Notamacropus eugenii: one gene and its partner. The protein of the gene in region 1 interacts with the protein of each later gene in a biochemical or structural test. Links are inferred from orthologs where the notes say so. Each region holds a gene or a part of one and is shown on either strand. Other genes may lie near its edges.

Region 1 (7,111 bases):
AGTTCTGGAGTAGGGGGCTGGGCTGCCCCCCTCCCCAGCTGCTATCTTCCCAGGGCCAGGATACTCCCTGCCCCTTTTTGCTCAGTAGCCAAAGGTCTCCTGGGAGGCATAAACCATGTAGAGGAAGCCATCTTCATCCTTCTCCTGCTCATAGATCTCCGAGATGGGTGTGGAGACGCTCACCATGCTGTGCTGGTTCACCAGCAGGAAGAAGGCCTGAGTGGGGTTAAGTTGGAGTCTGCGGCTGCATAGGGGAGAGGAGGATCGGGGGAGTCTGTTGGAAAGGCAACAAGACCCTCCAACTCCCAGCTCTGGGCCCTGACACTGGAGTTGGAGGGAATCTCTGAGCTCTCTAGTCCAACCCCTCTCCCCACTTCCTGACAACATCTCTGAGAAGAGTCATCCATCCATCCTGCCCAGTGGGAGGTCCCAGAGTCGTCCTGCCTCTTATTGGATGGTTTCGGGTTTAGGCAGTTTCTACTGACCCAAGCTGTGCCTCCTTCCATATCCTTATTCCCACCTCCTGTCTCCCACCCTTGAAGGCTCAGGGCCAATCCCTCTTCCACATGGCAGCTCTTCTAATACAAGAAGATAGCTATCATGTCTTCCCTAACTTCTACAAGCTAAAACATAAACTTACTTCCTTTCAGTAATTCTCACAGGGCATGAATTCTACTTCCTTTCCATCCTAAACACTATCCGGTGGATTGATTTGAGTTGTCAATGACCCTCCTTAAGCACGGTCCCAGAATTAAATGCTGTATTCTAGATGTCAGCTGACCAGGGCAGAGGCAGAACGAGGGAACCTTCTCTCCCCCTCTCCCCCACGTCGTAGACACCACCTCTATTTCACGATGCCTGGAATGGCACCAGCTTTCACGGCTGGGACTGTCAAGCCTGGGGTCAGATTCCCGAGGCACTGCCCTGGTCGGGTGCTTTCCAGCCCAGACCAGGGGGAGGTGAGTGGCTGGAGGGAGTGGGAGTTGGGGTGTGCCTCACTTACCGGATGATCTTCACTAATTCACTCATGTTGACATGGTCAGGGACAAGGAACTTGGTCTTGTCCAGGACAGGCAGCTGCTTTTCCCCTTTGTATCGCTCGATGATCACCTAGCGAACAGGCATGGGTAAGAGGAAGCGGGGGGCGGGCCCTTGGGGCGGCCCGGGCCCCGGCACTCACCGGTATCTTACTGGGGTGCTGCTCGCGGATCTGCTGCACTTCCTTGCATCTGTCGGCTGCAAAGCAAAGGGAGGCGGGGGTGAGGCCCGGCCCCGGGCCGCAGCGGCGGACCGTAAACAAGGAGGCGGCGGCTCCCACCCACGCGTCCGCCCCACTTCACCAGCCTGGCCTGGACCCAGCTCAGGGGGCCCCTCCGAGCACGAGCACCGCCCCCGGGTAGACAGCCAGGGCCGCGGCCCGAACCGAGACTCAGGCTACCCGGAGACCTCAGCCATCCACCCAGCCAAACTCCATGCCCGGGTCCAGGGCTCCCCCGGCCTGGCTGGGAAAGGTCGCTGCGGACGGTCGGGCTGGGGTGGGGCGGGGGGACGCGGGACCCTCCCTGGCCCCGAGCCAGCCCCCTCCCCCGCCCTGGACACTCGGAGTAAACACTCCAGGGCTGCGGGGGAGGGGCCTCGTCTGTCTCCTCCCCCCAGGCCCCTTAAAGGGCAAACTCGGGGTGGGGGAGGGCGGACCCGTCCGGGAGGCCGTCCCTGGACCTCTCGAAGTGGAGCGACCCCAGAATCGCCCTCCTGCAATGGGACCCTGCGGGTATCTGCGTGACGCCACGCGTGCCCATGACATCATCGGCCGTGGGCTCTTCCCCCGCCGGCAGGTCCCGGGACGTCTCGCAGAGTCCCGGTCGGATCCCACAGCCCCCCGCCCTACCCCGCCCTGGCCTCACCGAAGCTTCGCCGCTGCTTGAAGGGCCGGTCGGAGGGCATCGCGCCGGGGTCCTGGGTCGGGCAGGGGTGGGCTGGGGCGGGAAGGGAAGTTCAGGGTCAGGGATCCAGCTGTCGCCGCTGCCGCTCTGGTTCTCCGTCGCGCGCGCTCGGGCTCGTTCTGCTTCTCAAACCCGAGCAGCTGCTGCTCCGAGGAGATGGTAACTCGGTTCGGTGACGTCACTTCACAACATTCCTTAAAGGGGAGGCTGGCCTTGCCCTGCCATTGGGCCGACGAAAAAGCCACCCCATCCTCCCACTGACCCCGTGACGCACAGGCAGCTCGGGCCAGGAATGGAGGCCTGAGGAGGCGGGGCTCCCGAGGAGACATCGCCTGCCTGGTCGCTGCCATGACAACCGGTAGCCGCGCATCTCCGCTCTGGACCGCGACGTCGCATGCCCCGCCCCCTCAGGGTCTAAGTTGGGGCCCCCATTCCGGGCCGGGACTGGCGGGGCGTGCCCGGGCCTTCAGCCGCCGGCCGGGCCGGCAGCAGTACGGACGAGGCCTGCAGCCAGAGGTGCCGGCTCTGCCCCACGGCAGGCTCCGTAGGCGGGGTCCCCACGGCCCCCCAGTCATGCGTTCCCCAGGAGACACAGCCCTGGTTTCGAGAAGAGGGATCCCAATGGCAAGGAGTGGGCCAGGATGTCTAGGTCTTTCCAGAGACACTCAGGACTTGGAGCCGGAGGGCGCTCGGGGCCCATCTAGTCCAACGGAGGAGGCACATGCCAACTTGCCAGGCTCTGCCCCTGGCACTCAGTGACTTAGCAGTACCAAAGTACGACCCAAAAACTACATCTTCTGGCTCTTTCCAATATACGTCACTCCCAACTCATATTGGGTAAGTCCCAGGACTTTTCTGGGCCTCAGTTCCCCCACCCAGGTAGTTGAATTAGGTGATGTACAAAGCCTCTCCTAGATTACTTATTGTTCGGCCTGGTTTCACGAGCGCAAGGTTCGGAATTCTGAGGACTCCTCCAAGTACGTTCATTGCTCCTGTTTGCAGAACGACTTATTACCTGAACTTCACAGACAGCCCCCCATCCCCCCTTCCTTTTCTTTAATTAAATTAGAAAGCATTTAATACTTAATAAAAGCAAAAACATGGCTCGAAATCTTGCCAGGGTTTGTGACAGGAAGAGGGGAGGGAGTGAGTGAGATGATTTTCAGACGCTGATGTTTGAGAGGAAAATGTCAAAATATAAAATTCACGATGAGGGCTTGTTTAAATGCCGTCTGGTTTCAGGGGAAAGGCTACCAAGCAGTTTCTGTCTTCCAGAAGGGCAGAGGGAGTGAGGAGAGAAGCTGCTGATGGAACAAATGATTAACCCTTCCCGTCACCCCTGCCTGTAGCTACTCCTTTAACTCCCCTCTTGCCTTACTAAAAACTAGGGAGTTTTGGAGATTTGTAAAGAAAAACGTGTTCTTGGTCTTCCTCTCAGAATGCCAAAAGAGGTATGGTCAGGAGACAAACGATATACCAGTCATTGGCTTTACCCTGCAGTGGAGTGCAGGAAGCCTGGGTCCCAGTGCTGGTCCTGCTTCAAAGGGGTGGTTTCCTCAGTAAAAGCAGCTTTTCAGATTCTAGGATTCTAGAGAGTTGCTTCCTTTTTTGATTTATGATCAGGATGTCAGTCCTAGTTTCTGCTCAGTGCCTTGAAGCGGACTGCACAAAATGAATTCTGCCTCTAATGACTAGGAGAGAATTATTGAAGTATTTGCAAAGAACACACAAGGATGATGTAGATAACCAAATTTGAAAGAAGCAATTTAAACTGAGGCTCTTCCACTGACACACAAAGGCCTGCCTGGTTCCTTGAAATCTTGGGATGAGAAAGTTTCTTCAGCAGTCCCAGCAAGTGACTTAGGTACCCAGGGAGCTTCGACTCATTTCTGTATGGAACTCAAAAAAGTGGCTATGGATACTTTTCAGTGGAGGAGAAGGGAAGAGAGTCTGGTATCTGGTGTCCAGGAGGTGTCAAGGGTATCTCTCCTATGTTCAGGTTACAGCTAAGCTACAAGATGTCCCACTGGGGGAGGCAAAGGATGGAGGCAGTTGAAAGATGGCAGCATTGGGGCTCAAGGGACCATCACAAAACCCTACCCTACCCACAGTGCCAGGGTAGGGGCCCATGTCCTTTTATAAAGGCAGGAAATCACTCAGTATATGCCAGACCTCAAGGCTGCCTTGGCCTCACTATCCTCCTCTACACCTGATGCACAGGAAGTTGGTGTTGGCCCTTACATGCCAGGTGTTAGTTAAAAGTGGTGTTTGCACCCTCATGCCACACAAACACCTTATTTCATGTGATGTTTCTGAGAAATGGAAAATAGGCTGTTCCAGAAAAAGTAATTTTCTGGTAAAATTCTCTGGGTTATCCCCCAAACCCCTTTTAATAGTAAAGCCTTTCTGCTGAAAAATCTTCAGAAAATGTCTAAAATCATTTTCTCTACAAAATAGCCTCTTATGTGGTCCCCATACCCTGGTCTCTTCCCACCCAAGCTTCAGAAGCTATCCCTCCTTTCCCTGCTCAAAAGCCTTCAATAACTCCTTTTGGCCCCCAGTCAAAGTACATCATCCTCAGTCTGCCTGGAATTTAGAGGCCTCTACACTCAGAGTCCTACCTACCTTTCTAGGCTTAGTTGGCCCTCTTCCACTAGAAATTTTCTTCAAGGTTCAACTTAAATGCTACCTCGCCCCTCAGAGGTACTTTTGTGCATCCAGCAACCTTGACTTCAGAATTCCATGCTCTTCATTGTCTTTGTGCCCCCAGAGTGCTCAGGACCTGTGACTTTATAAAGTATAAGTAGTTCCTGATAAGGAATACAGAAAGAAAGTAACATCCAGTCTGTTTCCTGGGGTGGTGAGTGGTTAAGTGATCTGTCCAGGGGAGTATGTATGAGGTAGGACCTGAATCCAGGTTTTCCTCACAGATTAGTCTGCATGATGCAACACCAGCTCCCACACAGTAAATACTTAGTGAATAACCCTTTAATTGGTCAGGAGCATCTCAGGGACCCAAAGGAATCTTTCTTTGTAGGGAATCCCCCAGGGCCTCACGACATCAGTTAATTTTTCTTTTCGTCTTTTCCCCAAACATGGAAAGTGCTGCTGAAATGCTCATAGAAAGGTGTCTTCTAAGCTGGGGTAGAGCTGATCATGCTTCTTCCACAGGCTTCCCTCCTGGTCCTCGGGCCACCCCTTCAGACTCCTCCTCATTTTTCAGGGTCACTTCCCCAAATCCTTTGCAGGTCCCTCCCTCTGCTCTACTACTATGGGCCTGTGAAACTTGGTCAGTCTCTGTGCTGGAACAAGAGCAGTGCCCAATGGGGCTCTAAGTCTCCCCAGACCCACTGAGTGTGGCTGCAATGTAAAGATGGATGGTTTCACATTCCCACCAGTACCTGTCCTCTGGATGTTCATCCCCTTCAAATCCCTTGGAGAGGCCACACCCTCAGATCTCACCCCTCCCCCCACAAGCTGCCATTTAATTCACAGGCTGACTCCTCTACTAGGTCTTGGGATCATAGATTTGGAGGTGAAGGCCCTCTGAAGGTTATCTAGGTCAACTCATTTTGCTGAAGAAATTGAGGTCAAGAGAAGGGAAATGACTTGCCCATGACTACAAAGAACTCAGCTCTTCTAACTCTAATGTACTTTTCCCTAGATCCCCTGCTGCCTGCTTTGTCCTCACAGATCCAGGTTCCAGATCTCAACCCCCACCCTGCAATAACTCATGAGCAGACCTTCCCACCAGGGCATTTAAAGATACAACAAAAGAACAATCGTTACAGTTATTTTTAGTTCCTTTTAAAACAGCAACAAAATTAAAACCAGAAGCCTAGAGCCTGGATTGGGAGGAGGGAAGGCCTGGCCAAAGGGGAGCTCAGACCTTAGGGTGTGGGTACCAGCCCAGGCCATTAAATTTGTCTCCAAGGGCTTTCTTCCTGATGACTGAAGGCTACAGTTGCAGCCTCAGAAGATTCTAGATGGATAAAAGGTTAAGAAAATCAATTTGGGCCCCGCCCTGGGTCACATGATCTCTGCAAATCCAGTCTGACATCATCATTGTTTTCCACATGCCATTCAGTGGTGAGAGGGAATCAACAGGAATGCTTTCTTTCAGGGAGACTATTAAATTAAAGAAAAAAAAATATGGCATCTCGAATATGGCAAATTATTCTGTTGGATTTTGGATCACAATCAGGAAATAATCTTTATCTGCAAAAAGAAGAAAAGACATATGTCACACACTGATTGCTGACTCCAAGTCCAGGCTCTGCCACAAATTTGCTCTGTGGCCTTGGACAAGTACTTTGATTTCCCTAAGCCTCAGTGTTACAGGAGTGATGGAATTAGAAAATCAGAATGGGACAGATCCAGGCCAACCCACACCTGGAAAATAATTCCCACTACAACAGATCCAATGAGACAATTTGGCCTTTCCTCAAAACCTCCAGGAAGGGGATCCCACTACCTTCAAAGGCACCCCACTGCACAGTTCCCCTTCGCTGGGGAAGGGAGGGTATCCCAAGGGATGGCAGGGCTATTGTTGCTTTACTCCTGAATGTGACCCCTCTCTTTATTCTGACAAACACTGCCTTAGCCTTCTTGGATACATCATCCTACGGACTCATATACAGAGTTTGCAGTCCACTAAAAGCCACCGATCTTTTTTGGATGAAACACTGTCTAACCAAGCCTCCCTTCATTTGTACTTGTGAGGTTAATTTTTAAAATCCAAGTGTCAGACCTCACATTCATCCCTATGAAAATTCTTATTATTCAATTCAGCTCAACATTTTAGCCCATCAATATCTTTTAAAATTCTGTTTCTGTCATTCAATATATTAGCTATCCATCCCCTACCCTAGATTTGTATTATCTGCAAATCTGATAAGGATGCTATTTTGCCCTTATCTAAATTATTGATTAAAGAATAGGGAGATTCAAATTCTGGTTTGAAGCATCTTTGTTTCCCCTAAGGCAACCTTGGAAATAGCCATTTGCCCAGACTGGGGGCAAGAATATGTGTGGTAGAAGAAAATGCAGACATCTTTTACACCATGGGGAGGATAGGCTGGTCACAAACTGTATGGACTCCTCAGTTCCTCGAAGGCAAAGGACAGGGTCTTCTTCATCTCAGCCTGAATCTCCAGTGCTTAATCCAA
Region 2 (7,040 bases), on another chromosome or scaffold:
CCCTGCCCCCCCCCCCCCAAGTAGTCACTGTTCTGCTTCTTCCTATTTTCCCAAAGGATTCAGAAGTTTACAAGCTGCCTCTGTATAAAAAAATCAAGAACCTGGCCACAACTCTTCCCTAGCAGATGAGTCTACGTAGGTAGGGGCTTCAAATTCATTAACGCTGATGACTTAGGCAGGTGGAAGTGGAAGAGGTCAGACCTGGGCCCGCTGCGTGATAAGCTGTGAGGCGTTAAACTTGGCCACAACGCTCTTGAGCACCTCATTCACGATAGAGGGCAACACACGCTCCTCATAGTCCAAGCCGAGGCGCTGGTACATGCTGGGTAGCTCCAGGGCATTGGGTCGGGAAAGCACTCGAAGGGAGATGTTCACCATCTGAAGGTCTTGGCAGGGAACAAGAGGAAGCATTGGTCAGGGTTTGGTGATTCCCCTGCCCTCATTCAAACATGCTCTCTTCTATTCTCTTTAGTGCCTCACAATGCTGAGAACATTAAGTATGGAATTCTCTCAGCACCTAGCTTGGGACCAGGCACTTGTGAAATCAAACTTAGTAGCTACTTGATCAAGAGAGAAGACAGAATCTTTTCTTCCCCTAATATACAGGGGAGACCTGAGAGTTGCATTAAGGAATGTGCAGACAAGCTCAGCTCTGGTGGCCAATTACCCAGAGTACTGAGGAGCTTTGCAACTCTTGGTGCAATGAATTCTAAGCCAGGTTTGGAAGAAGGGCAAGGGTACAAGGTGATGGGAAGGGAGAAGGTACTTGCTTATTCATTCCTTTCACATTTACTTAGCACCCGAGGCAAGGTCTTTTACGTACTCTCAATACAGGTCAGGAAATAAGATGTGTACACAAATGAAAGTAATGCATAAAATGTACTTTTACTGTGTAGCAGAGTGAAGGCTCTCACAGGCAGAAGTAGGGGGAAGTCACTCCAAGTCTAAGACTACTTCATACAGGGCTGATGCTGGCTGGAGTAAACTAAACCAAGTTCAAGTCAACAAGCACCTACTATGCAGAGAAAACTGGAGTTTCAAAATCGACAAGAGGAAAGAGTGAGAGGCTGCACGAAGAGTAGACAGACTTGAATCAGAGCACTGGTCCCACATCTCACTTTAGAAACTCACTACATGCATGCACCACTCCAACTGATGGAGCTAGCCTCTGAATGATTAGAAGTCCATGGAAAAGGGAGAGGGGAACTCATTGCTGACTCCCAGTATACGTAAACCTACGGAACTGGGAAATGCCAGAATACATGCATGTGAAAATGGGCTAGGCAGATTTTGTGGTGGCACACTGTGACAGGCTCTAAATGAAACATTATTGTTCAGCAATAAAAGCTCATGTCTTTATTGTGCTTTAAGGTATGCAAAACAACTTAAATGATGAGGAAAGTGAGGTTCAGAGGAGTAATTAACTGGCCCAAAGTCACTCAGTTAAGAGTCTCAGAAAGTATTCCCACCTAAACCTAAGTGCAGTATTGTTCCCACAATGCCATGCTCCTTCCTCAGAACACATCTGCGATCTTTGAAAAAAGGAATGGCATGACTAGATCTCTATCAACGGAAGGTTATTCTAACAGCAGCCCAGAGTGTCCTTCTTTGAAGAGAAAAGTGCAGGCAGAAGGCTTGTTTGAAAGCCATCTGTCCAGGCAGACCTAGAGGACCTCTAGATATGAGATGAGAACAGAAGAGAAGCAAGACATTTCCTGGAATTTAATAATTCACTTGATTTGAAGAGAAGACCTGTAGGTGGTTTGTCCGGAGCTCGGAGAACATGAAGGGAGGCGGAGCAGCATGTGCTACAGCATGGGGCTGCCTGGGAGTCCCTCATTTTCTGTGAAAGAGGGGCGGTGCTAGATAGTTTCTAAGGTACTTGACAGCGCTCCTAGACAGAACGCCAGAGCGGTAAGCCCACCCGCGGGCTGGGGGGAGCACAAAGCTTCCTCTGCCGACAAGGAGGAGCCAACAAAGGTTTCTGAAAAGAGAGGTAACGTTTAAAGTGTCCTCTAAAATGGGGGGGGCATCGGAAACAGGGAAGACTAGTTTATCCTTCATCCTTCTGCCTCTAACCTGTTAGAAACTAACACCCCAGGTGAGAGGTACAAGAACAGAAAGACCCTGAGGCATGTGTTAGGCACCGGCACCAAGCGGGTGGAAGGGCAGGGATGCCAGGGGGAGCTGGGCAGCGAATGGAAGAGCCTGGCAGTAGGGCCCGAGGCCTCCCACCTCCTTCCCCTCCTGCCTCGGGGGCTCAGACTCACCTTTGGAGCCTGTGGGAGAAGAGATCTTGCGGGGCCGGGCACGGATGTCATAGATGATGGGGTACTGGAACCAGGGGATCCTGGGGGGCGGAGGCACGGGAAGAGGCTGGGTCACGGGGGGCTCCCAGAGGGTTCTGAACCCCACTTCTCTTCTCCCCCTCCAGACCAGAAGGGGGGTTAAGGGGCTTAGCTCTACGGAGCCCTTCCACGGGAGTTTCCCCACCCCTCGGGCGCCGGCCGTACCCACGAGATGGTGCGGAAGCCTCGGGGACCCTTTTCGGGGGGTGGGTAGGGGAAGGCAGGGCAGAGGAGCCGCGGGGCACGGGCCCCTCCGCAGGGCACGGTTTACCTGAAGTGCAGTCCTTCTGCCAGGATGGTGTCCTGCTGCACACCCCCGATTCGGTTAAAGAAAATGGCTCTCTGCCCGCCTTCCACTGCAAGGGGAAGGAGACACCAGTGAAGACAAGCGCGGGGCGCCCGGGGACTGGGGGTCCCGGCCAAGCTGTGGGTGCCCGGGGAGGGGGCAGAACGCGATGGGGGGGCGGGCACTCAAGGACAGGTCAGAGTTCTCGGGCGGCGGGGTCAGGGGCCCCAGGGGGCGGGGCGGGGTCCACGTGGGGGCCCTTCCCGCCTCTCTCACCCGTGAACACCGACTCTCGGACTCCGTAGGCCACGGCCCCGGCCCCGAGCAGCAGCTTCAGCGCCGTGCCCATGCCTCGGGGCCCGGCGGGCAGCCGCCCCGCGAAGTCCTTCAAGTTCTGGGCCATGTCTGCTCCCTGGCGCCGAGGCGGGGAACTAGGCCCGGGGCGCCGAGCGCTTCTCCCCTTGCCCTTCCGCAGTCCCCGGCCCTGGCCGGTGCTGGTGCTCCCGGGATCCGCACCTCTCCCACGAGGCTCCGCTACCTACTCGGCTCCTCCCAGGAGAAAGGGCACCGGAAGAGCGCTGCCTCCTAAACTCTCCCCTATATCCGGAGAGGACCCGAACTTCGGGCACCGCCTCCACGTGATCGGAAGTTGCCTCCCCTCTGTCCCGTGGCCCAGTCTTCCGGGGAAGGTGCCTCTGGCACGGCATCGTTCCCTCGATTCATCTGCCCTCTTCAAAGATGGTGACCGGAAGTCACGGAGTCTGGGCGGAAGTCGTCGCGTCCCCGCGCCCATTTCTCGAGAGGCATCCTGGGTAAGATTGGCGCCATTTCCAACCCTGTGCCCGGTTGCAAGATGGCGGCGCCCAGTGATGCTTTCCAGGCACGTGAACGGCGCATTCGGGACTCGGAGCGAGATTGGGATGCGGCGGAGCCCAAACGGCCGCGTCTGGGAGCGGGGAGCAAAAGCGGGGGCCGGCGGCTCGTGGTGGTGCTGGAAGGGGCCAGCCTGGAGACCGTCAAGGTATCGTGGGAAAGGAGAGGAGGGGAGCGGACTCGGGGCCCCAGCCTTGCAGCAGGGACTCGCCCGACCTTGGAGCGGGGGTGGGGGCTTCGCCTGCTTCTCTGGCCCTCACCCCTCGAGTTAGGGGGGAGTTGTGGGGGCTCGTTTCCGCGCCTCCCCACTCCCCAGCCTACACCTGGGACTGGTTCAGGCTGTCATGGATCTTCTCTGGGATTTAAGCTGTTAGGGTAACTCCTGCCCCCCGTCCCCCCAGACGCCATAAAGCCTTGGAGTTGGGAAGACCTGGGTGCAAATTCTGCTGCGGAAACGTACTGGCGACGTGACCCTGGGACACGTAGCTGGAACTCTCGGAGATTGAAAGATGCCTGAGGGGAGGGCCGATTGGTATTGGCAGAGGGAGCCCCGCCCCGAAAAAAGGTGCCGTGACGGCTTCTTCGGAAGTGTGTATCCGTCACACTGGGCGCCCCTCCCCGTAGGGATACTCAGTCCTCCCCAGCCGTCTGAGTCTTCAAATCTACCGTCTGTGCTGATGGAGGTGACCGGTGGAGGGGGTCCTACCTCCTTCTCCTTACTCTCCTAACCCCTTGCTTTCTACAGATGGTAAACACTTGCTAGTCTTCTTCCATTTGTTAATTTGAATACCTGTGCATTCCCTTCCCACCAACTGTTTCATATTTTGAATAAATTGTTTCAGTGGAAAGAACTTTGGATCAGGTAGTTTCCATCACCTAGCACATAATGGGAAAATTGGATTTGGAGGAGCAAGGCTCAGTTTTTGGCTCCACCAGAATTAATGGAGATTAGAATTATTACAGAGGACAGTTTCTAACTCAAATTTATGATTTTGGGCAAGTTAAGCCTCATTTTCTTTTATCGTAAGGTTCTGAATACTGCAAAAAGGTTATACCATACAAGTACAGATTTCATTCCCTTAGCTGATTCTTATTTAGCCATCCTTTGGACAACTTTTCCAAGACTTAGGAAATTAGCTTATCCACTTCAACGTCTCATCCTGGCAGAATTCTCTACAAAACTTAGGGTGAGTTTCACTTTCGCTCAAATCACTGAATCTGATGTCTTCCCAGTTTTCATTGAGCAACAACTTTCTGAAACCCTTTTTGGGTTTCTGGGACACTACCCTGACCTGGCTTTTTGCAGAGTTTTTTGCTTCTCAGTTTCTTTGGCTAGTTTCTTAATCCTTGTCACTCCCCTTAGCTGTGGGTGTTTCCTAAGGCACAATTCTGGGTTCCCTTCTCTTCACTGACTTTCTCTCTGCATGACCTCAACCACCTTCCATGAATCTTTATTTACAAAACTGATCACAGCTACGGACTTCAGAAACAAAATCATTCACCTGGACGTACTCGGAGGTTCTTATCTGTTACCCTCAGGACCTCACTTGATTAATGTAATCTTGTGCCAAGTCCTTGCCCTTTCTACCTTCGCAACCTTTCTCCCATCTGATCCCTTCTCACTACTCTGACAGCTGTGACCTTAATGTAGCTATTCATTACTTTTCCTGTCGTGTAGGTTATTTCAACCTAAGTAAAGGACACTTTATACTTATCCCTATTAAATTTTATGGCTCTCATATGTCATCTAACATAATAACTACTCCTAGGATTTTTCTGCCTGCAGATCTGATTAGTGTGCTGCCACCCAAGCCTTAATCCAAGTTGTTGATGGGAGTCCGTCCTCTCTATGTCTGATCTACCCACAAACCTTTTTGGTTCCAGCATACCTTAAAAAAGGCCTTCGATGTTTTATTCTGGTGTTTGATTGTGGCATGGATAGGACAGTTGGCTTTCTAAGACTATTCTTGCAAATTGTACTTTGCAAGTTATGCCAGGATAGCTGCACCACATGAATCAGTACCTCTAAAAGATCACAGTTGTATGCAGCATTTAGTGACTGATGAAAACACTGATTCTTTTTTTAATTATTGAATTATCACTCATTGCAAACCTCTCTATGCAAAGACTTAACCCTTTTTGGGGGGAGGGGAAATTCTCACCTACCTTTATCTTTTTAAAAAAGTAAATTCAGTGAGTTTCCTGTTTATCAGGATTATCTGCCACTATATATATTTCATTTTGTCCAAGTTACTGATATTTCTAACAAAAGCGAATCTGGACAATTGATTGCATTAGTTTGTGGGGCTGAGGGGGAGAGGGAAAAGTTAAGTTGTAAATTACTTAAATTCTTCTTTCGTGTTAACTGTTGGTTTTTAAAAATCAGCTCTCTCCCTTCTTCTTTACTGGTATATTCAATACTACAAATCTGATAAAGTATGCCTTGGTGTTTTAATCAGATTCTGAAAACATGAAAGCATGAAAGCTCTTCAGCTTATTCCTTCCACTGAATCCCTGACAAACTCTGACACTGATGCTGACACTACCTTCTTGCAGTGCTGCTAATGGATCCTCTTAATATTTTTAAAAAACCTTTCTCAGAGATACCTTTTTCCTATACTGAGTTGTGGTTCTCAGGAAGTTTTCCCTTTATGGTTTTATCTAGCATCATACACTATACACAAAAGATTCCCATAAGCCTAGCTCATGATCTTTGTACAACCTTCTTGTACACCTTGCTATAGGTACTTTCCATTTCTAACACTGTGATTTTGAGAGACTGCCTAGTTCATGTAATTGTAGAAGGGTAAACAAAGGAGCTTCTCAGTCTTCTGAATCCCAGTTAAATTCTAAAAGTCCATCGTCAGTGTCACTACCATTCTCTAATCCAGGTTGGCAACCTCTGCTTTTCATACTTAGTACTTTGTTTTACTGAATTTTGTTTTTATTGCTGACCCACCCCTTCTCTTTAGTTCCCCAACTACCTTAACAATGTCTACCCTGTCATAGGATGTGGGAGGGTCCAACCCTTCCCAGATGAGGAAACTGAGGTGTGGAATGACAAGCGCAAGATCATATATACTGAGTGGCAGAACTGGAATTTTCCATTGTATCACACCACCTCCCGAGATTATAGAAACCTCCATGTAGTTTCTTGCTTGTTTCCTGTTAAGTCTGCTTGTTTTCTGTTAAGTTTAGCATGCCTCTCTCCGACTAGCCTTAGTTGTCTTATCAGCATTTTATGACAAGACCCTTCATCATTAGTTACTTTCATTCCCACTTTTTCTACTTCATCTCCCATTACCCTTAACTTACTCAACACTTAAAACTTGCAATGCATGAACTTACTCTATTAATTTCTGGATAGCCAAATGGGGCTAAATTGGATTTAGAACTGTCTTTGTACATACAGTGCTCCATCCTTTTTGAAAAATTAAATTCAGACTTTACTGCTTTCTACTTCTTTCTCTTCCCAGGTAGGGAAAACCTATGAACTGCTCAACTGTGACAAACACAAATCTATACTCTTGAAA

The links. The genes of interacting proteins can lie anywhere in the genome.
Region 2: the proteins of MAP1LC3A (region 1) and PHB2 form a complex in vitro, tested with the Homo sapiens proteins (2 studies listed by BioGRID). The link is inferred for Notamacropus eugenii from reciprocal best matches to the Homo sapiens genes MAP1LC3A and PHB2.

The regions. Positions count from the first base shown.
Region 1 is NC_092872.1:418,666,014-418,673,124, reverse strand, and holds the start of MAP1LC3A (microtubule-associated protein 1 light chain 3 alpha), read right to left. Parts: upstream 3,050-7,111; 5' UTR 1,945-3,049; coding exon 1,905-1,944; intron 1,237-1,904; coding exon 1,181-1,236; intron 1,111-1,180; coding exon 1,004-1,110; intron 245-1,003; coding exon 82-244; 3' UTR 1-81. Other genes in the region: DYNLRB1 (dynein light chain roadblock-type 1), read right to left, coding at 6,118-6,161. UniProt on the Homo sapiens protein: Ubiquitin-like modifier involved in formation of autophagosomal vacuoles (autophagosomes). While LC3s are involved in elongation of the phagophore membrane, the GABARAP/GATE-16 subfamily is essential for a later stage in autophagosome maturation.
Region 2 is NC_092874.1:195,386,552-195,393,591, forward strand, and holds the start of PHB2 (prohibitin-2), read right to left. Parts: upstream 3,045-7,040; 5' UTR 3,038-3,044; coding exon 2,911-3,037; intron 2,705-2,910; coding exon 2,620-2,704; intron 2,351-2,619; coding exon 2,271-2,350; intron 387-2,270; coding exon 202-386; intron 1-201. Other genes in the region: EMG1 (ribosomal RNA small subunit methyltransferase NEP1), read left to right, coding at 3,488-3,655, 6,984-7,040.